Alligator mississippiensis: one gene and its partners. The protein of the gene in region 1 purifies or fractionates together with the protein of each later gene. This does not show direct contact. Links are inferred from orthologs where the notes say so. Each region holds a gene or a part of one and is shown in the gene's direction. Other genes may lie near its edges.

The links. Proteins that work in one complex are often made in the same cells at the same time.
Region 2: the proteins of STX12 (region 1) and NAPA purify together in Homo sapiens (affinity purification with mass spectrometry; 4 studies listed by BioGRID and IntAct, counting the BioPlex papers as one, with this or other methods). This does not show direct contact. The link is inferred for Alligator mississippiensis from reciprocal best matches to the Homo sapiens genes STX12 and NAPA.
Region 3: the proteins of STX12 (region 1) and VAMP7 purify together in Homo sapiens (affinity purification with mass spectrometry; 3 studies listed by BioGRID and IntAct, counting the BioPlex papers as one, with this or other methods). This does not show direct contact. The link is inferred for Alligator mississippiensis from reciprocal best matches to the Homo sapiens genes STX12 and VAMP7.

Annotation. Positions count from the first base shown.
Region 1 is NC_081829.1:16,711,397-16,719,160, forward strand, and holds the start of STX12 (syntaxin-12), read left to right. Parts: upstream 1-4,733; 5' UTR 4,734-4,791; coding exon 4,792-4,894; intron 4,895-6,830; exon of another isoform or gene 6,831-7,764. UniProt on the Homo sapiens protein: SNARE promoting fusion of transport vesicles with target membranes. Together with SNARE STX6, promotes movement of vesicles from endosomes to the cell membrane, and may therefore function in the endocytic recycling pathway.
Region 2 is NC_081838.1:1,790,972-1,798,836, forward strand, and holds the start of NAPA (alpha-soluble NSF attachment protein), read left to right. Parts: upstream 1-4,786; 5' UTR 4,787-4,876; coding exon 4,877-4,974; intron 4,975-7,865. UniProt on the Homo sapiens protein: Required for vesicular transport between the endoplasmic reticulum and the Golgi apparatus. Together with GNA12 promotes CDH5 localization to plasma membrane.
Region 3 is NC_081831.1:35,659,371-35,667,384, reverse strand, and holds the start of VAMP7 (vesicle-associated membrane protein 7), read left to right. Parts: upstream 1-4,935; 5' UTR 4,936-5,052; intron 5,053-5,307; exon of another isoform or gene 5,308-5,327; intron 5,328-5,378; exon of another isoform or gene 5,379-5,478; intron 5,479-8,014. Other genes in the region: DNA-directed RNA polymerases I and III subunit RPAC2, read right to left, coding at 4,032-4,070. UniProt on the Homo sapiens protein: Involved in the targeting and/or fusion of transport vesicles to their target membrane during transport of proteins from the early endosome to the lysosome. Required for heterotypic fusion of late endosomes with lysosomes and homotypic lysosomal fusion.

The DNA of each region.
Region 1 (7,764 bases):
TTCCACCTATTAGGCACATATCAGTAAGTGGACTTAGGCATCTGTGGTTCTATTCCACCCTGCTTGAGTAGAAGAACTGCTAATGCAAAAGGAGATGGGTCCTCCTTCTACTTGCTACTTTTTTATTACTTAAGTTAAGGGTCAGATAATGGTGTGTTATAGAAGTAGCTACATTAATGCAGTGGTGCCCAAGCTTTTGGCCCTATAGGTCAGATGAATAGCATGGGGACAGTCTGCAAGCCTAGTTCAAGCCCCGCACACCAGGATTGGGCCCTGGGACTCTGTACTGCCCTCTCCATGCCCTGAATGCTGGGATTGGGCCCTGGGGGGTAGCACCACCCCCTCATGCCCCCACTTGCCAGGAATGGGCCCTGGGGTGCAGCACCATCCCCTCCTGCCCCTGTGCCAGAATTGGACCACCAGCACTCCCATGTGCCAGGATTAGGCCTTGGGGCCTAGCACCACTTGTGTCTGGACCTGCACACTGGGATTGGATGCCCAATCCAGCATGAAGAGCCTGGGGCTCCCCTTGGGACTGGAAATTTGGCAGCAGGATAGCAGTGCCACCACTCTCCATTGCCAAATTTCTGGTCCTGTGAGGAGCTCCATGAGGCAGATGACATGACAGCAGGGGCTGGGGGTTGAGCACCCCTGCATTAATAGATTGTTAGGGATTCAAAGAGGATGGAACAGAATTGCACTTAGGAACCTAAATTCACTTAGACACCAAAAAAGTGGAATAGAATCTGGCCTGATACTTATAACTAGAGAAAGATAAGTAAACTGAATTCCAGGGTAAAGAAAATCATTGGGCCTTTGTACATGCAATAAAATTGTCCTTTAAAGCAGCAAAATGCCCATTTGTGCCATTAATGGTGTTGCTATTTACATGTTTGGCAGCGTATTCTGTTTTAATGGCATTCCTATTTACATGTTCGGTGGCATATTCCGCTTTACATGACTTAGTTACTTAGCAAGGTAAAATACCTCCGAGGTGTTTTAGTTTGCTACCTAACAAAGTGCAACGGTGCATGGGGCACTGGAAACCACCGTGATCGGGGAAGCTCAGACTTGGTGGACTTCCAACACCCCATGCACTATCCCCGCCTCCTTCTGCTGCCACCAGCATACCCAACCACCCTCCTGCCTCCTTTCCGCTCTGCTCCGGGGCAAGCCATCCATTCCTGGGTGCTCCCAAGAGGCAAAGACGGTGCACGGGGTGCTGGAGCTTACCTGTCTCCCCCACAGTTGGGCGGGGGGGTGAGCTGCCGGTGGGCTGAGTGATCCCTGAGTTGTGGGGGACCCAGGTGCTTCCCTCTGCGGTGGTGGCATCCACCAGGCAGCACCCACCCACTGCCACCCAGCCCAGGTGGTCCCAGGGGGCACTGCTGCCATGGAGGGAAGCACCAGTCCCTGAACAGCGCAGGCCGGCAGGCTCCATTAAATAATCAGTTTATTTTTATGTTGTTATGTACACTCTTACCATTTTATGTCTTAAATTACTGAGAAAGTTAATTGTACAGGTTTCCCTTGCTTTATGCTGTACATGCATTTCTGGAAAATGGCACATAACTAGAATTCGCATAAAAGGAACCCACTTTACAATGTAGCAAATAGGGATACGTTCCAAGACCTTGACTGTACTGACCCCCAGACCCATTTCTACCATTTTTACAAGAAAATTTTGGTACTCCTCAACAGCAGACAGTACACAAGCACAGGGCACTATCATAATGGGGATGGCAACTACAGAAACACGTGTCACAGACAATGAGTGAGGATCACGGATGCACCTAGACTTTATTTTGGTGCACATCACTCCCACAGTGCAATGCACAAAGTAGTCGACTGCGAGCTTCCATCACACTGATCGCATGAGAGTGAATTTACTTCACATATAACAAATATTTGGTATAAAAAGGGTTATCGCATAAGTGCGAATTTGCACATACAGAACCTGCATAACACGAGAGAAACCTGTATTCATTAATTAATAGAATTTGATTTTTTCCTACTAAGATTTTCATAGTTCAATGATATAGGTGAGTTTGGGGCTCCACCAACATCTTTACTGTGTAAACACACCAAAATTGGTAAGCAGGTAGCCCTGGCTACATTTGCAACCCACACCAGTTTTGATATACTGAACTTGCACAAATCAAAGAAGTTTAAATGCTTTCCCAAGATTAGACTAATACATCAGGGTTTGCAGTTTGAAGTCAAGAAGGCTTATGCTCCAAAGTCTGAAATCACTAAGTGCTGGTGCCTAAATACACACTTGGCTTATGCATATAAAAAATTTCACATTTAGTCTAGAGAGGAGAAGACTGAGAGGGGATTTAATAGCAGCCTTCACCTACCTGAAGTGAGGTTCAACAGAGGGTGGAGCTGTACTGTTCTCAGGGATGACAGATGACAGAACAAGGAGCAATGGTCTCAAGTTGCAGCAGCGGAAGTTTAGGTTAGATATTAGGAAGAATTTTCTCACTAGGAGGGTAGTAAAACACTGGAGCAGGTTACCCAGAGAGGTGGTGCAACCTCCATCCTTTGAGGTTTTCAAGACTCATCTAGACAAAGCCATGGCTGGAATGATCTAGTTACGGACAGTCCTGCTTTGAGCATGGGGTTGGACTAGATGTGACCTCCTGAGGTCCCTTCCAATGCTAACTTTCTTTGATTCTAAGTCTTGCGTCTAGCTCTCTGTTCATGTCATGTAAATCTGAACAGTTTTTCATGACTATCATCAGGAATCTGTGTTTTCTATTTACTGTGGAAAAAGAAGGATTTTCTCCTTTAAAGGAGAAAAACATGGGAAACAGTGGGTTTCCCCTTGCAAGGGGCTGCTTGGGGTGAGGGGAGCAGGAGAAGGGCAAACACAGGAAGGGGATGCCACATGCAAGTGCATGCAGACACATGGACATGGCAGCCAGGCATCGTGGTAGCGATCAGCTCCCACAGCTAAGTCAATGGGGGGGGGCATAGGCAAGGTGTGAGGGGGCAGGGACACATAGGTGATGTGCCAGCCGGGTGGGGCATGTGCCCCCTAAGATTTGTGTACCCACAGCAGGCACAGGACTACAACCTGGTTGAACTGGCATGGGCAGGAGTTGCCTCCATGGCCCAGCGGGTGGGACCCAGCGTGGGAGTGTGGAACAGGACAGCAAGACTCATTGCTGCTGCTGCTGCCGCCACAAACCCTCCACCAGCCATGCTGCCAGCAGTGTGAGGAGTAATGTGTGGTTGGGACTGCATTGCCCTGACATCCTCCTGCCACCAGCCACTCCTGTGCTGGGCCACTGCTCTATCCAGGAGGGGACATGGGGAGAGGGGCAGCACAGGCAACCTGAGGGGAGTGGTAGTGGCAGCTGGACCATGGCAGTGGGGTAGAGCGATGGCCCAGCGCATGAGCAGGTGGCGGCAGGAGGAGGTGAGGGCAGCACTCCCACTCCCCACCCCACCTCTGATCTGTTACTCCTTGCACTGCTGGCCGTGCGGCAGTCCTGGTGGCAGCAGCAATAAGCCTCACTGTCCTGCTCTGCCCTTACGTGCTGGCAGCTCCTGCCTGTGCCAGTCTGGCCAGGCTGCAGCCCCAAGCCCCGCTGTGGGCACACAAATCTAGGAGGGGACATGCTGCCCCCCTTACCCCTCTAACAAGTTGCCTATGACATTGCCTATGGTCAGGCATCCCACCCTGTCCTACACACACACACCCCCACCGGGGGGTAGCAAGTTGGGAGAGGCAGCAGTGGGGCTGGGGGGATTCAGGGGCTGTGGTTTGGGGGTGAGGAGCACTGATGGGGCCAGGAGGCTGTGGGCTGGGAGTGAGGGGCACCAGCATATCAGGGCTGCTCAGTGCCACAAAGCAGCGGCAGGGGAGAGAGGGGGGAAGGAACAGCTGCAGCTGGACCCACATCCCGGCGAGCGAAGGGGGCAGGGAGAGCTCTGATTTTCCATGATAAAAAAAAGAAAACCAGAAGCAAATGCTAAAGTGTATAGATATTTAAAAGTCATTGTATTATGATGATGAAGGTAAGCTTCCAAATTGCTTTAAAATTGCAAATACATCAATAAAACATTGCGTTCAGCTGATACCTGTGTATACATAGCGGCCTTTCATTTTAATCACGAAAAAACAGTGATGCGTGGGTTGTAATCGGATAATTTCGGGCGTTTAAACAGAGAAAACCGGGACCCTGATTCACCACATTAGAAACTGTGTGATCGAGTGACTAGTTTTCGATTGAAGTCAGTCAAGGCTATTCACGTGCCCGGAGCTGCAGCCGCCGACGTGTTTGCAGAATCGGGGCCTGCACCCGCCCCCTCCTCGCTCGGCCTGTAACAGGCTTGTGCGATTCCGCGGAGCCTTGTCCCAGCGACAGACACTGAGCTTGGCCTCCACAGCTACCATGCCATTTCAGATGAGTTTGAGGCTAGTGCAGATAGAAATGTATGATTTAAAGGAGCGAAAGCAGCGGTGGCAGTCGAGCTGACAGTCACGTAATCAGGACAGGCAATGCAGTGCAGTACTGACACCATCGCGATTGTGGACGCGGGGTCAGTGGCGGGAGATGAGGCCGAGGCGCCGCGCGGGGCCGGAGCGCAAGAGAACACGTGCGCGGCGCCGCGCGTCCCTCGTTGCCATGGTCCCCGCCGCTTCCGGCGCGTAGGCGTTGGCGGCGGGGGCGGGGCCCAGCCGGGTTGGCTTCCCTCACGGCGCATGCGCGTGGCACCGCGGCGCTGTCCCGGCTCCGGCCCGATTGATCCCGCGGCCGCAGCTCGTCCGGCGCCGCCATGTCGGGCCCGCGCGCCCCCCGCCCCGCGCCGGGGCCGCCCCGCGACTTCGGCGGCATCATCCAGACCTGCAGCGCCAACGTGCAGCGCATCGCGCAATGCAGTGAGTGCCCCCCCCCCCGGGCTTCCTGGCCTCAGGGTCCGCCCCACCCCTCAGGCCCGGGCCGCCCCGCGCAGGTGGGGCCAGGGAGGAGCCGGCCCCGGGTCAGATCGGGCAGTTGTGCGAGGGGGGCGCGGTCCTCCTCCTTGGGTGTCTCCGGTGTTCGTCATTACGGTGGTTTCCTGGTTTTGCAGCGTGTCCGTGTCCCCAGCGCTCTTGTTCCCTTTCATTAGCCTGTCCGTTAGGGGGGTGCTCCACTGCCATCCGCACGCCACCATCATGTTTCGTGGATGCCTCTGTTGCCTGCCCCCTTTGTGTGCTGACAGGGACCCTGGTGCACGCCCACCTGGCCCAGCCTCTTATTGAGGTTCCCCGCACCTTTTTATTTAGGCACTCTCTGTCTGTGGCCCCACCCAGTCCCAGGACCTCCTGGTCAACCTCCTCCTGCCCAAGCTGGCCACGTGCTTGACCAGGAAGGAGGCTGTGGCTGGGAGGGCCCGTCTCCTTTCCCTCATCCGTTCCCCAGAGTACCCCTGAGCAGCGTCCACTGGCTCCTTGAGGGCCAGTGGGCACTGTCCGGTGCGCTGTGCTCGGTGTCCCCACTGGACACACTTAATATGAATCTCTCACCTGAACTCCTGTCTCTGTTTTTTTCATTCTTTGTTCCACCTGTTCCATTCTGTTGTCACCTTTCTTGTGGCCTCCCCACCTCAGGGAGGCCGATGAGCAACCTGGTGGGCTAGGCCCATGTTTTCTTTTAGAGACGAACAAGTAGTTCTGCTGTTAGAGGGGCCACTGTTTCTGCTTGGGCCAGGTCCACAGCTCCCGGTGCACAACGAATAGGCCTGCCCGTGCAGTGGCAGGAAATTGTCAGTGCCCCACTGTGGCCACTTAGGGTGTTCTTGGGGGTTTTGTGTGTAGTTGTTTATGCAGTTTTTAAGCACAGTTTACACAGACACTTTTGTAGGATAGGTTAAATAAGGACGATCATACCTTGATCGGGGGGTTGACCAGACCTCCTGAGAGTTCTTCCAGCCCTACTTCTATGGTTCTTTTTTCCCCTTGTTTTCATGTTATCTTCTTTGCCTTTCCTGACCTTTTTGACTTGGAGCTGCCTTTCTTTCGTGTCATGCCATCTGTCTCTACTTGCATCTCTCCTTTGAGTGTGCTTTCCCTATGCGGCTTTCAGTACTACCCCAGTGCACAAAGCAATGCAGCTAGACTTCATATTATTTTGAGACCAGTGATATTTCTAAACTGTGTTATCTGTCCCATTTGGCTTGTAAGCTCTGTGGGTGCTCTTTTTAAACAGCTCTTTGATCTCTCCTGTAGCAAGTAGCAGCTGCCTTCTTTGACTGTAGGAACAGGCAGTCCATTATGGAAGAAAATGCTTAATGGTGAACCTAATTTGTAACGTCACAAGCAGAAATTCCAGATTCTCTCTCTGGAATGGGAAAGGGGAGCAGCTGCCTGAATGGGTAGCTAATAGACAGGATGCCAGATGTTGAACACATAAGATCATGGTGATTTTGTGGGGAATAATGTACACCATAACACAAAGACTCTCATTCTCAAACCCCTATGGTTGCTCATTTATGAAGTAAAGTGTAAAAAAAAAAAAAAAAAATTGCATCTATTCATGAGCTCACCAAATCTCTAAAATCTGGCATTTATTGGATTCTAGCAGGGCAGAATCCAGAGATGTGGGTTTTTCAGAAAATTTTGAAATGGAAAATTTTCCAATGCCTAAATAGATCATGGTCTGATTTTAGCATGTTTATTTGACTTGTATTTAGTAAACAGAACTAAAAAAGTACCCCCATGTTAATTTTATGTCCCAATAGCCACAAGTATTTGAACTGAAATATTTGATTAGGAAAACAAATAAATTCAGCACACTTAATGTGGTTTAAATGTTATATTCAAACAAATTCAAAGCTTTATGTGGAAAGAGATTATTTTTATTGGAATACTTGTAAACATGTAAAGACAATACACAATAGCATGGATTTCCCTTACATCATTTTTTTTCTTAAATTTAAACAAACAAAGGCACTGAAAACTGTTGACGCACTAATTTTAGCACACCCAAAGAACTGTGCAGGATATGCCGTAGTTGTCCATTCATCTACTTCAGCAGAGTTTAATTCTCTTCCACTGAGGTAATTGTGACTCCTCCAGTTTCATTCTCACTATCTGTAGAATCACTTGCACTACTTACACTACTTATTGAGGCAAATCTGTTTCAGAACTACTTGAACCACATTTCTTTTTCTAAAGGGTGGTTTTACCAATGAGTCTATGGGCAAGGATGACTTCTCACGCTACGTCTTCTTCACTAATTGTGCTTCTGACTGATTCTGCAGAAGCAGAAGATTTTGAGAAATAGAAACAAGCTTAGCAGTGCATTCGTTTGTTAGTGTATTCCTCTTTTTTTGTCTTGATTGAGCAAAAGCCTTCCAGTTCCGTTCACAAAAAGCTGCTGTTGGTGGAATGGTTAGGATCCTTAGAGCAATGGTGGACAGCAGTCTAGTGTTACAGTATCCCTTCCACCATGTGATAGGAGATGTATTCTCTGCTGCCTGCCAAGTGATGTTTTTGCTCCAAAGTTTTTCTTTTGCACGGTACTTAGCCATGATGACAGACATTGCCATTTCGTTGATGTTGGGGGCATTCTTTGCTACTTCCATAATTGTATCGAGAGCAGTAGATAATTCATTTTTAGATAAATGCTGTCCTCTGTGTTGAGGATCCAAAAGGTTTGCTGCCAGATGAACTGGATGAGAGCAAAACTCAGATCTCTTAGTAAACATTTGTTTTACTACTACTTACTCTTTTGTATAGAGGTGAAGAAGGCAAAAGCTGATTAGATT
Region 2 (7,865 bases), on another chromosome or scaffold:
AGGATTGCTGTTTCAACCTTCCCTGCTTTAAAACCCTGCAAACTTCCGACAATACGTGTGTATCTATCTATCGATAGATAGATGTGTGTGTGTACACACACACACACACACATATATGTATATATACACATGCATATATATATATATATATATATATATATATACACACACACACATATAGGAGTGCACGGATTGAAATGAAGTTTAGCCAGATGAAGAAGAAAACAGGCATAGGTCATCTCATACTCACTCCTTTGTTACCATGGGCATGATACGAGCTGCTGGGTTGTTTGCAGTCTCAGCTCTGTGCCGTAAAATGGGATATATCTAACCTTTCATCTGGAAGTAATTCATTTAGGGCTCCTCTCAAAAGTTCAAGCCAGGATGGAAAGGGAGCTGATCTGAAACGGAGGAGGCTGGATGCCTGTCAGAGCCCCGATGCAACGTGTGCAGCGAGTGTGTGCTTGCTGGCAGACAGGGAGGGCCGCGCCGTTTGCATTTATAACAAAGCTGAGTGCGGAGACGGTCTGATTAATCACGATCTGTTTTGTTGCTGAAGGACAAATTCTGGCTGTGGGTGCTTGGTTAATAGGGCGTGCTCTTGGTTTTTTTATAACAGTAAAGATGATTCATCATTGGAAGCGGTGGCTTCTGCATCTCCTGAAGTCTGCAGACCGAGCCGGACCGTCTTGGATCCTTTGTTGAAACGCATGGGATTGGACTCAATAAAAAGATAAAATCCTCTTGACTGGAGCTGGACTGTTCGCAGTGGCGACAGGACAAGGAGCAATGGTGTCGCGTTGCAGCAAGGGAAGTTGAGGTTGGATGTTAAGAAAAACTTTCTCACGAGGAGGGGATAGTAAAGCACTGGAACAGGCTCGACTCATGTTAGTAGAGAGGTGACAAAATTGACCTTTAAAGCTACGCCTCCGTGAAGCCGGGGATTTGACCCTCACTAACAAACATAGGGAATATGCAACTCGGGTTGAAATATCTAGCGGTGGAGTTTGCAGCAGCTCGGTGTGTAGAAGTCAGGATTTCTTAGGTTCCCTTAGTAGCTGCATCTAGCTATAGCCACTGCTTCTACATCCCTCAAATGGGGAAGCTGCTGCTGTCACGCACCGTGACATCTGGAGCCGGGCTGTTCTTAGTGGGGGCGGATGACTGAACAAGGAGCAATGGGCGCAAGCTGCAGCAAGGGGAAGTTGAGGTTGGTTATTAGGAAAAACTTTCTCATAAGGAGAGTAGTAACAGGAACAGGCTACCCAGAGGGGTGGGGGGAGTCTCCGTACTTGGAGGTTTTTAAGACCTAGGTAGGCTTGTGCAGGATGATGTAGTTGGGGCTGGTTCCGCTTTGAGCAGGAGGTTGGACTAGATGTGACCTCCGGAGGTCCCTTCCAGCCCTCCTTGTCTGTGTTTTTATGATCTACTGAGTGAAAAATCTACTGTGGCAGCAGAAGTATTTTAACTCAGGAAGAATGGTCGTTTGCAAAAGGCTAGAGAGGACTTGTCTTGTTACCGAGCAGCCCCTTCTCTGCAGAGGATGCGAAGCCTCCAGTGGCAGTGCTACCACTGCCCCAGCCCATATCAAAATGCCTTGTGGGTTTGACGCCAGGGACAGGTGGGAGAACCGGCTGCAGACCGGGGTCTGCTACTGCCAAGTGTCTGCCTACCCCCCTCCTCAGGTCGGGGACTACATGCAGGTCGGTCCCCCGGGCAGCATGGAAGTGCCTCTGGAAGCATGGGTTTGATGCGGAAGCCAGTCAGGCCATGTGGGACAACTTGCCCCAGACCGTGGTCGCCTGCCAGCAAGTGCCCGCCTACCCCACCCTTAATGGTCGGGGACCACACGCAGGTCGGTCCCCTAGGCAGCTCAGAAGTGTCCCCGGAAGGGAGCGGGAAGCACCAGGGAAAGCAGGATCATGCTAAACCTGATAGCGGAAGTATCTATGGAGATGCAGGATGGTAATGAAAGCATGATGACGCCCCTTTACGAAGCCATGGTGCGTCCACACCTTGAACACGGCGCCCAGTTCCGGTCCCCGCACCTGCAAAAGGATAGAGAAGAACTCGAGAAGGTCCAGACAAGGGCAACAAGGATGGTCAGTGCTACAGAGGGGCTTGCCTAGGAGGAGAGACGGCCGAGGCCAGGCCTGGTCAGTTTAGAGAAGAGATGCTTGAAGGGAGGCAATAAAATATTAAATGGGAAAGAGAAAGTTGATGGGAATTTATTATCGACTTTCACCAGTCGTGTCCTGTGCGAGATTGTCGACAGCAGCCGTTTAGCAGCTGTTGCCGATTCGTTAGAAGCGCTTCTGCTAAGGCCGACAAGGTTCTTGGGGGGGGGGGGGGGAAATCCAGTATTGTTTATTAGACCAGTTAAAATAGTTGGAAAAATGATTTGTTGCAAGCTTTCAGGTTACAAACACCCTTCTTCAGGCTTATTTACCAGGCAAAAACCGAGGGGTCACAATAGGAAACGAATAGGTAGTTGGTTTTTCCACCCAGGACAAATGAAAGGGGGGAGCTCGTGGCTACCAGGTGCAGCGGAAGTAGAGAGTTCATCCTGATCCATGAAGGGATTGGACCCGTTTTTGGAGGAAAGGGTCAGCGGGAGCGCGGGAGTGTGGGGCACGGCCTCCAGAGCAGAATATCCTCAACCTTCAGCGGCGCTTGTACACGTGACATAAAGTGGCCGCAAGTGGGAGAGGGACGGGGGGAAGAGCCCTGCTCAGACCCATGCTTTGGGGTTGTTGGTCTAAGGACATAGGCAGGCAAGGGTTGTGGGGAGATGTGATCTCTTTTATAGATTCATAGATGTTAGGGTCGGAAGGGACCTCAATAGATCATTGAGTCGACCCCCAAATTATTTATTATTATATGTAGTTGGTCTAATAAAAGAGATCACATCTACCCCAACGCTCAGAGCCAGTCGCTCGCCCTTCCAGCTCCGCTGTCTGCCGCCACGGGGCGCAGGAGACCGGGCAGGACTCGCCTAGGGTCCGACCCCGTTCACGGCTGCTCGGACGCTCTTGGATAACACACGGTTTCCATCTTGGAAGACGCCCATCACCCTGGCCCTGCTGAAAACCGACCGAGGCGTATCGTAATACAGGTGTCTGCAATCTTGTTAGAAGACCGCTGGACGTCCTCATTCCACGCTTTAATTGCCCTTGGAGGGGACGAGCCCACGCGTGGCCCAACTGCAGAACGACCCGGCCCCTCCTTTAGGCCGTGTCACGCGCTTGTGCACATGCCGGTGGCGAGGGTGTTGTCATACGCTAATTGGGCGCGGACGTGAGCCGGCGCTGTTTTCCGGGGGCTGCTGTTCGGGAAAAGCAACGGATGCTGCCTTATCATGTCTGCACGTAACCCCCGTTAGTCCTAACGAAGGCAATTTAACATTGGAATTTGCAAGCTGCCAGGGCTGTCCATAGGGGTTTGGTGCCTTGAGGGTATTTGCTCTTATAGGGGAAGCCCCTATAGGGACTTCCTTGCCTAGAAGCCGAACGTCCTCTCCCCTTGCATACGGCCCTGTATAGCAGCTGTTCTGGATAGGAGCCTTGCTGTATAAGGGTAGGAGCCGAAGCCAACCCTGCCCTGTATAGGGACCCCCTATAGGGGCTTTTCCAGAGAGGAGCCCAAGGATACCCATACTGTACAGGTGTTTAGTTCCAGCAGACGCTAAGGATTCCCTCTTCGCTCCTGCCTCATATAGGGGCCTTTATAGGGGCTTTTCCAGACAGGAGCCTCGGTGGGTAGGGGCTTAGTTCCATAGGAGCCTAAGGATCCCCCCCCCACCGTGCCCCATATAGGAACCCCTATGGGGGCTTTCCCAGACAGGAGCCCAAGGATACCCTCGCGGTGTAGGGGTGTAGTTCCATAGGAGCCTGAGTCCCTCCTCAACCCTGCCACGTAGAGGGACCTATAGAGGGGCTTTTCCAGGCAGGGGCTCAGGGACCCCCCTACCGCACGGGGCCTTCGTTCCATAGGAGCCTCGGGACTTCTCCCCCAGCTCTGCCCCATATAGGGACCCTTCTAGGGGCTTTTACTCTATAGGTACCTAAGGCTCCCCTGCTGGATAGAGGGGCATCCGCCCTATAGGAGCTGCTGTTGGGGCCTCCTTGGCAGTACTGCCATACTTTATCTAAACCTATATAGATACAGGGCTATATCTATAACTATCTGTCCATATAGATATCTATCTCTATGCAGATATCTAGCTATCTAGATATAGATACATATGGATAGATACAGATATATTGATATGTATCTATATATAGATATACAATATATCTATATTGTATCTAAATATATCTAGAGACAGTATCTAGATATATTTTATTTTGTTATTTTTTATTTTTACTCTATATAGATAACAGTAAAAATAAAAGTACAAAATAAAAATATAAAAAAACTTTTAAAATGTCGAATTGAGATGTTATAAAAATATAAGACGAAATATAGGACTTGATAAACCATGTTTAAAAATTATAATAAAGTATACATTTGTTTTAAAAAGTATACTTTATATCTATTCCCCGCCCCCGAGCGCCTATAGCCTTGCACGCCCCCCCCCCCGTGGACATCACGTGACTGTCTCCAGACGCGCCGACTCACTTCCGCGTCACGTGAGGGAGGAGGGGGCGGGGTTTCCCCGACCACGTGCCGGCAATACAGCGTGCTCCCATCACGTGACGCCTCGCATCACTCCCGCCCCTTTCCCTGCTTGGTCACGTGACACAACCCCTCTTCCCTCCCTCTTCCGCAGAGTTCGTCCCGCCCCTTCCGGGTAGTGACGTGCACGGCCCCGCCCCCTCTCGCCGGCGTTGAGTGTCGCGGCCCGGCCCGATCCCGCTCCCGCGCCGCCGCCATCATGGACCCGGCCGGGAAGGAGAAGGAGGCGCTGCAGCTGCTGGCCGAGGCCGACAAGAAGGTCCGCGGCTCCCAGTCCTTCTTCGCGGGGCTCTTCGGGTGAGTGCGGGCGGGGGGTGGGGCCTAGCGCGAGGGGCGGGGCCTAGCGGCGGAGGGTGTGGCCTAGGGGGGCCAAATAGGGGGGCTGAGGGGTATGCAGTGGGGGTGGGGTGGTGAGATGGGGGGGCTGGGTTTGGGGGTGGGGCTTAGTTGCAGGGGGGCTGGGGGGGACCTAGCAGGTTTAGCAGGTTTTGGGGGGTAAAATGGGGGGGCTGAGGAGATGCTGGGGGGGCGGTGTTTAGACGGAGGGGCGGGGCTTAAGTTTGGGGGGGGCATTGGGGGCACTCGGGCCCAGCCCTAGACCTGCGGTGGGGGGGGCTGTCTTTGGGGTGAGGAAGATGGGGGGGGGCAGCTTGAGACATGATGTGGGGGAGGGGCCTAGTAGAAAAGGGGGTGGGGCCTAGCTGGAGGTCTGGGATCTTCGTGGGGGGGTCCCAGAGGCCCAGGCCTGGTGGGGGGGTGTTGTGGGGATGGGGGGGCTCAAGCTGGGAGGGTGGCAAGGGGGGGGTCGCAGGGGGCTGGGGGGGTGCAGGGACTGGGTCCGGGGATTGCTCGGGGGCAGGCTGGGAAGCTGGGTGTGTTGTGGGGGGGGAGGGGCATTGCTCCATGCAGCCTCGTGGGGGGGGGCAGGGGACAGACCCCCCCCCCCTCCACCTGCAGCCTCTGACCTTGCCTTGGGGTGACCAGCTCCCTCCCCAGCCTGGCAGGGGGGGCACGGTGTCACAGCGCTCGGCTCAGCTGGGGGGGCCTGGAGGGGCTGAGACCCCCCCCCCGCCCCCGAGCGAGGAGGGCAGGACTGGCCCAAAGAGGAAGCTTTAGCTGCAGCGCGTGCGGGGGCCTGGCCTCGTTGCTATTAGAGCAAACGTTTTGTGGCCCCCGCGGAGCTCGAGACTCGGGGTAACGATGGCTGGCAGCAAACCCCCGGGGTGCGGGCAGCCAGTTGGGCGCCTGCCTGCTAAATGGGAGACCGGCTCCGGCCGAGGGAGACCGTGGCGCGGCCGCAGATCAGCCCCGAGCTCGGGCAGCGAGTGCAAACGTGTGCAAACGTGAGGCCGACTCGGCAGGGCCCCAGGGTGGCGGCGCTGCCTTCGGGTCTGGGGCCTGCGCTTCCACAGGGAGGTCCGAGGCGGTGGGTGGGGGAGGTTGGATTTGGGGGGCAGGGTCGGGGAGACGCCGCTCGGCACAGCGTGCGCTGGGCAGGGCCGTGTGATTGCTCGCAGATAGCGGGGAGCTGATATTCATCGAGGCGCGTGGGGGGGTGATGACTAGGACGGAAAGAGGAGATGAACGGCGAGGACTGACGGCGAGATTTATCACTGCAGAAATACCTCCGCTCCCGACAGGCCTGACGCAGTCACGGGCGCGAGCTGTCCCGTAGCAAACGCCCCCCCGTCGTTTCCCCGGCCCGAAGGGGGAAGCCGACGTGCGCGGCGGTGGCGGTGGCGGTGGGGAGACCAGAGATAGTAAACAACCTCCATGGCTAAGTCATGCGGTTCTCCCCAGGGGGAGGGGAAAGCTGGCGGGCCGGTGGATTTAGTCCTGTCTCAGCCGCTGGGTGGAAGGGCAGCGGCCTTGCCGGAGGGCGAGGGGAGTGCGTGCAGTTGCAGTGACGAGGGATCTGTTATCTCAGACCAACATGGCTGTACAACAAGGAACACAAAATGCTAAAACTCATGGTTCGGAGGCGATACCTTTCATTAGACTGACTGGAAAAGAGCCAGAAAGTGACCTTCGTTTGCCAGCTGTTGGGCACATGCAGCCTTCTTTGGGCTGAGGGGGATTGAAAGATGGTCAAAGTCCCCTTGGGTAGAAAATAAACTACAGACATCCATCCACCTTCAGCTTCCTTTGTGCAAAATGAAGTTTATTTTCTACCTTAAGGGACTTTGACCATCTTTCATTTCCCCTCAAGAAATTACCTGTTACCGTCTTGAATTTCCCCTTGCAAAGAAATTACCTGTCTTTGCAAGCCCAAAAGCTGGCCAAGAAGGGTAATTTTTGGCTCTTTTCTGGTCAGTCTAATAAAAGGTATCACCTCTCAGCCAAGGTTTTAGCGTTTCTTATTCCTCATTGCGGTGGCTTTGTCCCTTGAGGATCGTGATGTTTTTCACTGGAGCCCCTTGATGCCAAGCGGGACTGGGGAGCTGACGTAGACTCGTCGAAGTTAGGGGCTGGAAGGGACCTCTCGAGATCATCGGGTCCAGGCCCCCTGCGCTCAGGTCGCCCAGCACACGTGAAAAGCTTTGGGAGGAGCGACCAGGGGGAGGCTGGGGCTGGCGTCTTGGGCAGGAGAGGGAGGAGGTGACTGCCGATGGGAAAAGGGGAGCCGCGCTCCCCAGAAGAGACTGTTCTTCCTCTGCCTTCCCAGGGTCTGTACCTGTGGCAAGCAGGAAGGCAGCTCAGCAGGCCAGTTCCTCTCGCATCCGACTGTAACCGCTAGGTCTGCAAACCCCGATCTTGTTCATAGCGTCTAGACGCAGCCAGCAAGACAGCTCCCTGGAGCTCTTCTCTTGCCAAACGTGCTCCCCCCCCCAAAGCATAAGAGCAGCAGCAGATTGCAGAAGAGACAGCAAATGACAAGCACGCAGCAGCTGCAGCTGAGATTTTGGTGGTGGGACCAGGAAGGTTCTTTAATTACTCTTGAGTTGAAAGAGAAGCGGGGGAAAACCCCCCACCCCCAAGGCATTTGTCAGTGCAGAGCCCTGTGAATTTGCGCTGCTTTCTCTTGGATGCTTTAAACGATGTTCCCCTTTTAAAAACCACCTTGAAGGTGTTTTTATCGACGCCGGTTTCCCTAGTGCTGCTTTTAGCGAGCATCCTAAATAAGTCGGCTGCTCTCAAAGAGAAGGGGGGGACCCCCCCCTGCACTCAAGGCATCTGTCAGTGCGGAG
Region 3 (8,014 bases), on another chromosome or scaffold:
CTGCTAGCTTGTGGCCATTATTTCTTGTAAGCCCCGGGGGCCCCTTGGTGAATAAACAATCACCAATTCCCTTCTGTGCCCCCGTGATGAACTTATAGGCAGCCACAAGGTCGCCTCTCAACCTTCTCTTGCGGAGGCTGAAAAGGTCCAGGTTCTCTAGTCTCTCCTCGTAGGGCTTGGTCTGCAGGCCCTTAACCATACGAGTGGCCCTTCTCTGGACCCTCTCCAGGTTATCGGCATCCCTCTTGAAATGCAGTGCCCAGAATTGCGTGCAGTACTCCAACTGCGGTCTGACCAGCGCCCGATAGAGGGGAAGTATCACCTCCCTGGACCTATTCGTCATGCATCTGCTGATGCACGATAAAGTGCCATTGGCTTTTCTGATGGCTTCATCACACTGCCGACTCATGTTCATCTTGGAGTCCACTAGGACTCCAAGATCCCTTTCCACTTCCGTGCCACCCAGCAGGTCATTCCCTAGGCTGTAGGTATACTGGACATTTTTCCTCCCTAGGTACAGCACTTTGCATTTCTCCTTGTTGAACTGCATCCTGTTGTTTTCTGCCCACTTGTCCAACCTGTCCAGGTCTGCTTGCAGCTGTTCCCTGCCCTCCGGTGTGTCTACTTCTCCCCATAGCTTTGTGTCATCTGCAAACTTGGACAGAATACATTTCACTCCCTCATCCAAGTCGCTGATGAAGACATTAAAGAGTATCGGTCCAAGGACCGAGCCCTGCGGGACCCCACTGCCTACCCTGGGGGTCTTCAAGAGGAAGTTAGATAAGCATCTAGCTGGGGTCTTCTAGACCCAGCACTCTTTCCTGCCTATGCAGGGGGTCGGACTCGTCGATTTATTGAGGTCCCTTCCGACCCTAACATCTATGAATTATATGCATTAAGGTTGCAAACAAGGATGCACTTTTTGTAGAAAACAATGATTAAATCGAGGCTTCCTGACCAGTGATTTAAATTGTTATTTAAATGACACTTTAAAATCGATTTGAGTTAAATCAAATCTACCTTATTAACTTGTCAGCAATATTATTTAGCATCATAAAAGATGTTACCAGAACAAACTGGCATCACAGGCTGTGGTGCAGATAAACACTGGACAAAGTTATTCTTGTTTCTAAAGAGGAGAAAAGAAATCCTAACTCTGAATCATACTTTCACACCTCTTGACAAACAGCTTATTACAGGGGATGGGCAAGCAAACACAAAAACAATCCCTGGTAGAATAGGTGTTGGTTTTATACATTTCTGTAAATTACACTAGGTGCAAGATGACTAGATCTGCAGCTCTCTCTTGGTAATGCATACAGTACAGAGCTATTACCACACCTTGCCACTAAGCAGAGGGGAAACAGTTAACAGATTATTTTCTTTTAGCAAACAGCTACTACCCTGAGACAGATGTAGACAGATAACACCCTCAACTTCCACTGGTAGACTATGAACCTGAATGTGGGTCTGGATGGCCCCCCAATGCTTCTGCAAATCCCAGAGAAAAAAAAAATTCTTCCCTTACATGCAGGGATGCACTGACCTCCAAGTAATTCACTGCTGCAAAGGAATGCAATTTCCCCCCATACACATGTGTAATGCATTTTTAGAAGCATACATTAACCATTTAACTGCACCACTGCTGAGCTGGATCAATTAAAGTTAGCTACATAATTTTCATACCACTTTCAGCTCCAGTAGACATTTTTCCAAGAGAGGATGTTTCAACTGGATTTAGGTTACTGGAATCAGAACTCTGGGTAGAGGTTATACCTTATTAGACCAACAAGATATTTGCAAAAAAAATTCTTTATTCACAAGCGTTTGGGTACACACACACTTCTTCAGGCATAGGAAAATGCAAAGATGGTAAAATTTCTCCTAGGCAGAAATGCAAATTCATATTTCACAGGACAGTTGAAGGTATAAGTCACAGGGGCGGGCAAAATATGGCCTGTGGGCCAGCCCACCAGGCCATTCTATCCTGCCCATCGGGCCCCTAAAAAATTTAGAAAATTAATATTTATCTGCCCCTTGCTCCCTGTCATGCGGCCTTTGATGGCTTGCCAAAACTCAGTAAGCAGCCCTCCACCTGAAATAATTGCCCACCCCTGGTATAAGATCTCCTGGTTGGCAAAGTTCATTTTGTGCAAATTTAGCTCAGATAAAAAGTTTGAGCAGTCTATTTACCTTGAAGTTGTCTGATAGTAAGTGGTATGTTAAAGAGGTGCATCCAAGAGAGATTTTTTGGGGCTGATACCAACAAATGATGCTTAAAGATGCATATCATCCGATACGATCCGATTTCTGATACGCAGCCCAGCAGCAAAGAGCAGTGTCTGGCTGGTAAGTCTGTTGTGATGGAAGGGGAGGTGGAAGGGAAGGGGCATGGCAGGGGCAGATCGAGGCCCCTGTAGTGAGGGAGGGAGGGGGAGGGAGGGAGGGAGTGGGGCTGGGGCAGATGTTGCCCAGCCAAGGCAGAGTGGGACACAAGATGGAACCATGGCTTGTTTGGGGGGTGCAGGGAGGGGGGGCTCCCGCTGCTGACAGCACCCCAGGAGGACTCAGGGGGGCATGTCGCCCCACATCTGCATGGGAAGGAGGGGGCTGCCACTGAGAGCTGGAGCAGGGGCTGCGCCAGGCTCTTCCCAGCAGGGGCTGAGCTGTGCTGTGCTTGGGGTGGGCGGCAGCAGCACTGGGAGAGGGGTTATGGGGTGGGGGCTGCAGCCACCCCAAAATTCACCGTAGCCCAAACCCAGCGCCACTGCCCACCCTGTGCGGTTAGCAGTCTGACCCAGCCCCTGCCAGGAAAAGCCCAAGGCAGCCCTGATCCCACGCTGCAGTGACAGCCCACCCCTCCCATGCAGATCTGGGGGGCACACATCCCACCCGTGCCCTCCTGGGATGTGCATAGGGATGGGAGCCTCTGCCCCACCTCAGACAAGCCATAGCTCCACTTACCAGCTGGATGCAGCTCTGCAAGCTGCCAGGCTGCGCTCCTCACCACCCACCTGCTGCGCCGCCACATCAGGCAAAAAAGCCGATTTCCGACAGTCAATTTTTTTTATATCAGTACAGATCTGATATTGGAACAATGTATCAATGCACCTCTATGAATTATTTCCTTCTGGTTATGATGTTTCATATTTTGCAAGAGGATGGGTAAACAATCAAGTACTAAATAAATGCGCAGTAACAGTAGCTCCAGCGAACACCTTTTTAGTGACATTACTGTGCAGTAGCCTAATAATACTGGGCAGTAGTGTACTGGCACTGTTTGTGCTGCAATGGGCTACCGCACAGTATTATTAGGCTGTTGGGCTGTTAGTGTCTCATGTAGATGCACCCGCTGTCTCCAAAATGACAACAGGCGAGAGATTAGGAGCAGATGTGCAACTCCCCTGCGGCTCTATAGCTAGTCTCTGCCCCTCCGCCCTCTTGCTCACTCCAGTTCCAAAGCACAGGTTAGATTGAGGGCTAGATTTTCCACACCTTAATTAGCAATGTTGGGAATGCTTAACTTGCATTAAAAAGATCCCCTTATTCATAAAAAAAGTTCATGGAGATGACAGATACTAGAAGAACAGTAAGTCATCTCATAGTTGCAAAAAGACCTTATGAGCCTCAAACCTGATGCAACTGTGCTCAGACCCTTTAGGAAAATTAACCCAGCCGGGCTCCTCCCTGGGCCAGGCCGCTTGCTGGCTACAGCTGCAGGTGCAAACAGGCGAGCAGCGCTGTCGGGGGCGCGCGTTTCCAATTCCCCGTTGCTTGTCTAGCTCCAGCTCCTGGCCCCGCCCCCCTCTCATTCAAAGAGAGAACCAGAACCAGCGCGAAACCAACCCCTTGGAGATGCGACAAAACACCGCCCCCCCCCGCCGCGGTGGTTACAACCCCGGGGAGGCGAGCACGTGGCGCGGCGGCGGCGCGCAGACACCCGCGCTCCGGTCCCGGCCCCGGAGCACAGCGGGTCCCGCTCCGCGCGGCGGCTCCGCCCCGCGCCGGGGGCAGCGGCTGCCCGCACTCACCGTCTCCAGCACCGGCTTCCTCTCCACCTCCTCGGCCATGGCTGCGGCGTGCGGGGCGGGCGCCTGCCCGGGCCGACCCCTCCGGCGCCGGGGCCGCTGGGAGCTGTAGTCCGGACCGGGGCCTGCGGTCTCGGGGAAGCCCCAGCTCCCGGAGTCGCGGGATCCGCCGCGGTCGCTGTGGGGGAGCGCGAAGGGCCTTCCGTCTTCTGGCCCGGGACGGCGCCGGCGCCTCGCCCAGTCCCGCGCCCGCTGCTCAGTTTCCGATTGGGCTGGGCCGTGAGGCGCAAGTGCGGGAGCCGGGGGAAGCGGCACTGGAAGTGGCTCGCCTGCTGCCAACCTCCTGGCTCTTTGGCGAGCCGCCTGGGCTGCAGCCGGGGCGCAGGGGAGCCCGGCACCGATCCAGGCACGGGGGGGGCTGGAGGCAATTGGGGCCCTGTTCCCACAACCCGGGGCCTAGATCTGACAGCACAGGGGCAGCAAGGGGCCCGTACTGCCAGCCGCCGTCGGCGCTGGAGCCGCTTGCGCCGCGCCCACAGGCCGAGCACCCGGGTCAGCCCAGCCCAGATCCTGCCCGGAGACCACGGGCTCTGCCACAGGGCGCGCAGCAGAGGCGCTCCCGGAACGCCCGGGCCCGACCGCCTCGGCTCCCGCCACCACCGCGCCTTCGCGGCTGCATTTCACGTGGCTCGTGTGTGAGGTCGTGCGTGCGGCCTGCCCCGGCCGGCAGGGGGCGCTCGGCCCCTCCCGCCACCTGAACTACCCTTCCCAGCAGGCAGCGCGGCGGCCCACACGGGGGCCGCTTCCCAGCAGGCAGCGCGGCGAGCGCGGAAGCCGTCCCGCTCTCCCGCCCCCTCCCGAACTACATTTCCCGGGAGCCCCCGCGGCGTCGGGAGCGCCCCTGGCGGAAGTGCACGTGCCGGCCGGGAGGAGCGAGCGCCGCGGCGAAGGGGCGGGAGCAGATAAACAGCGCGCCGGGCGGGGGCTCCTGCTGCAGCCCTTACGTCGCCGCTGGCCGGCCCGGGTGAGCCTGGCCCTGCGTGGGTGGGGGAAGTGTTAGCCCCGGGCGGGGGCGGCATCGTCCTGTGCTAGCGGCGCGGCGCTCCTCGGCCCCTCGGGTGCTGCCCTCCCCTCCCCCCCCGCGGTCAGTTGCTTGCGCAGTGTCGCTGTTGGGCGGCGGGAGGGGCTGCCTGGCGGGCCCCGGGAAGCAGCTGCTGGGACAAGTGGAGTGGGCTTGGGAAGGGGAAGGTGAGACGGAAGTGCGGGGGGCCGTGGTGTCGGCTGATGCTGGAGCCCGAGGTAATTGGGTAACGCCGTCCTCTACCCTCCCCCCAATTTCACAACTGCTAGAAGAGACTCCGTGTTGTAGCCAGGCACCTGCATTGAGCAACATGTTCCCGCATTAGCATTTGGGTTGCTGGAAGCAAAAACCAGAGGGCTGTGGAAATCGGTGAGCTTGTGATTGGGCACGTGGGCTTTTATGTTGGAGGAGTTGGAGAAGCCAAGCGAAGGCCTGCTGTGGTGGGGAGCGAGCTAGCTAGCGAGCAGCAGGGTTTTGGGGGGGGGGGGGTGTTGTCAGCAGAGGGTTCTCTCCCTTCCGCAAATGTCTTGTAAATTCTTACCTGTGCTTTATAATCCTTAATCTTATATTGGGGATTGTTAAGAACAGGATTGTAAACAAAACCAGAAATATCTTCCTGCCACTTCATAAATCCCCAGTGTGTCCACACCTTGACTACTGTGCCCAATTCTGGTCCCCTCGCCTCAAACTCTATATAAAGAACTAGAGAAGGCCTGGAGAAGGGCAACAAGGGTGATGAGCAGCACGGAGCGGCTTCTGTATGAGGAGAGACTATTCAGTTGATAAGAGATGCTTGTAGAAGGACATAAGGGTTTACAAAACACTAAATGGTGAGGAGAAAGTAAATGGGTATTTATTATGTACTCTCAATACAAGAACAAGGGGTCACAAAATAAATTTAGTAGGTAGTAAATTTAAGACTAACAAAGGGAGGTTCTTTTTCACACAGTGTGGCATTAAAGTGTGGAGCTCATTGCCACCAGATGTTGTGGAAACTGCAAGTTTAGCTAGGTTCAAAAAGGCATTGGACAAATTGTTGGAGGAAAAGGCCACCAGTAGCTATGGAGCTTAAGAGGGAGGGCTACAGCCCCTGAATTGGAACTTCCTGGACCTTAAGTGCTGGAGGCTGCAAGTGAGAGCGGCAGTGAAGAAACAAACCCTGGTCAGACACAGTTTGCTCTCCCTTTCAGCTTCAACACCCTGCCACTGTGTGAGATGGGGACTTGGTAAGATGGACCCATGGTCTGATCTAATAAATAGCAACTCCTATGTTCTTGTCTCATGAAATCAAGACTTGGGTTTTTTAACAGAGCAGTAACAATATTTTGGTGACATTTAATACACAGTTCCTTGGAAAACTCTTTGGTTTGCAGTTAAGCAGCTGGATCTCACCAAGACTGTTGGTGCCTGAGAATGAAACTGACCTGTTTAGTTAACCTTTTGAACTGGATGTCAGTTGATATCATTTAAGCTATAGGTTTAAATAGGCTACAAAATCAGGGGCAGACATTCACCTGGTTAATGAGACCTTCAATAGTCACATTTTTTTAAAGAGGAAAAACTGAGAAAGAAGTCTTCATGTGTTAGAAGTACAGCAGTTGCTCTTTAATAGTGTAATTCTAGCCTATCTAGCAAGTAGAAGCTCTTTGATTTACAAGTGGAATAATTTTAAAATGAGTAAAGGAATTAAGAAATTGAAGAGTTAAAAGGAACCATTGGATCACTTTTGGGTTTAAGTTGCCACTTTTAAATTTTGTTGCAAATGTTGCTCAAAGAGCCTCTTGAACAAGGCCTGGATCTGATTGGCTAACTGCTCGTATGGCAACATACCATATGTTGATTAGTGCTGGAGAAAACTTTTTTTCTTGACCTCAGGAGAGTTCATAGAGTACTTTCCCCAGTACTCTCTACTGTTACATCTGTTATTTCTTCTTCCTCTGTCAAAATTCTGGCCAGGATCTTCTTACTTATAGAAGACAAATGTGCTCCTCTTGGTATGCGAGTAATTAATAATGGTCATGTTCTCTTTGTAGTGGTCCTTTACCTTTGCTAGGACAAGAACTAAACTTTTCAACACTTGGGTTGTAGCTCCTTGTAACCCAAGCCTTTTAGAGTGCTCCTGCTTATTTTTATTGTGTCCAAAGGATACATTCCAGGCTATGTACTCTGTGTAAGGGTGACAGCCTGTGTTGTAGAAGGCATTGTCTCCCACAATTTCTTGTTGCTTTCCTTGCCTCCTGAATTACTTCTGTTCACCTTGGTCTTTTTTCAAAGACTGCTGGGAAACTTTCAGCTATTGCAGAAAGCAGTAATTCTGCTTACTTGCTGATTCTTGCATTTCTGCTTTGACTGTACAGGCTACCAACTTGTTTAATACACTGATTTCCCCCCCCCCATTCTGCAGGGCCCTCCTGGAGGAGAGGAAGATGGTAAAGGCTGGTCTTACTCCTTTCTGCCTTATCTTGGGCTGGGAGTTTGTTGCCTTTGTGTGTCTTAACACCTATCTAGTTGGAGAGCTTACTTGGAGCCTGAATTAGTAGGTTCAGATCTTCATTCAGGAAGCTTTGATTTGGGTCTTGTAGAGCATGGCTATATCTACATTTCTGGTGCCTAATGGCTATAAGTTTGCCTATAGGCTAGGTATACAATTCATAGATATAACTATGCAGATAAGATTTATCTTTGATTTTCCTGACTGTGAAAGACCCGTTAGAAGTTTAACCAGCACTTAGAAATATTAAGTTATTTGCCTTTACTGAAAGTAGAGGAGGTGAGAGGAAAGACTTTCTCCTGACAAGTGAGAGAATGGAAGTAGTCATTCCAGCTGACTTGTAATCAAAAGCCTAAGGTTAGGGGGGAAGTGCTGCAAAGTTCAAATTCTCTGTCTTTACCTTCTAAGACCTAA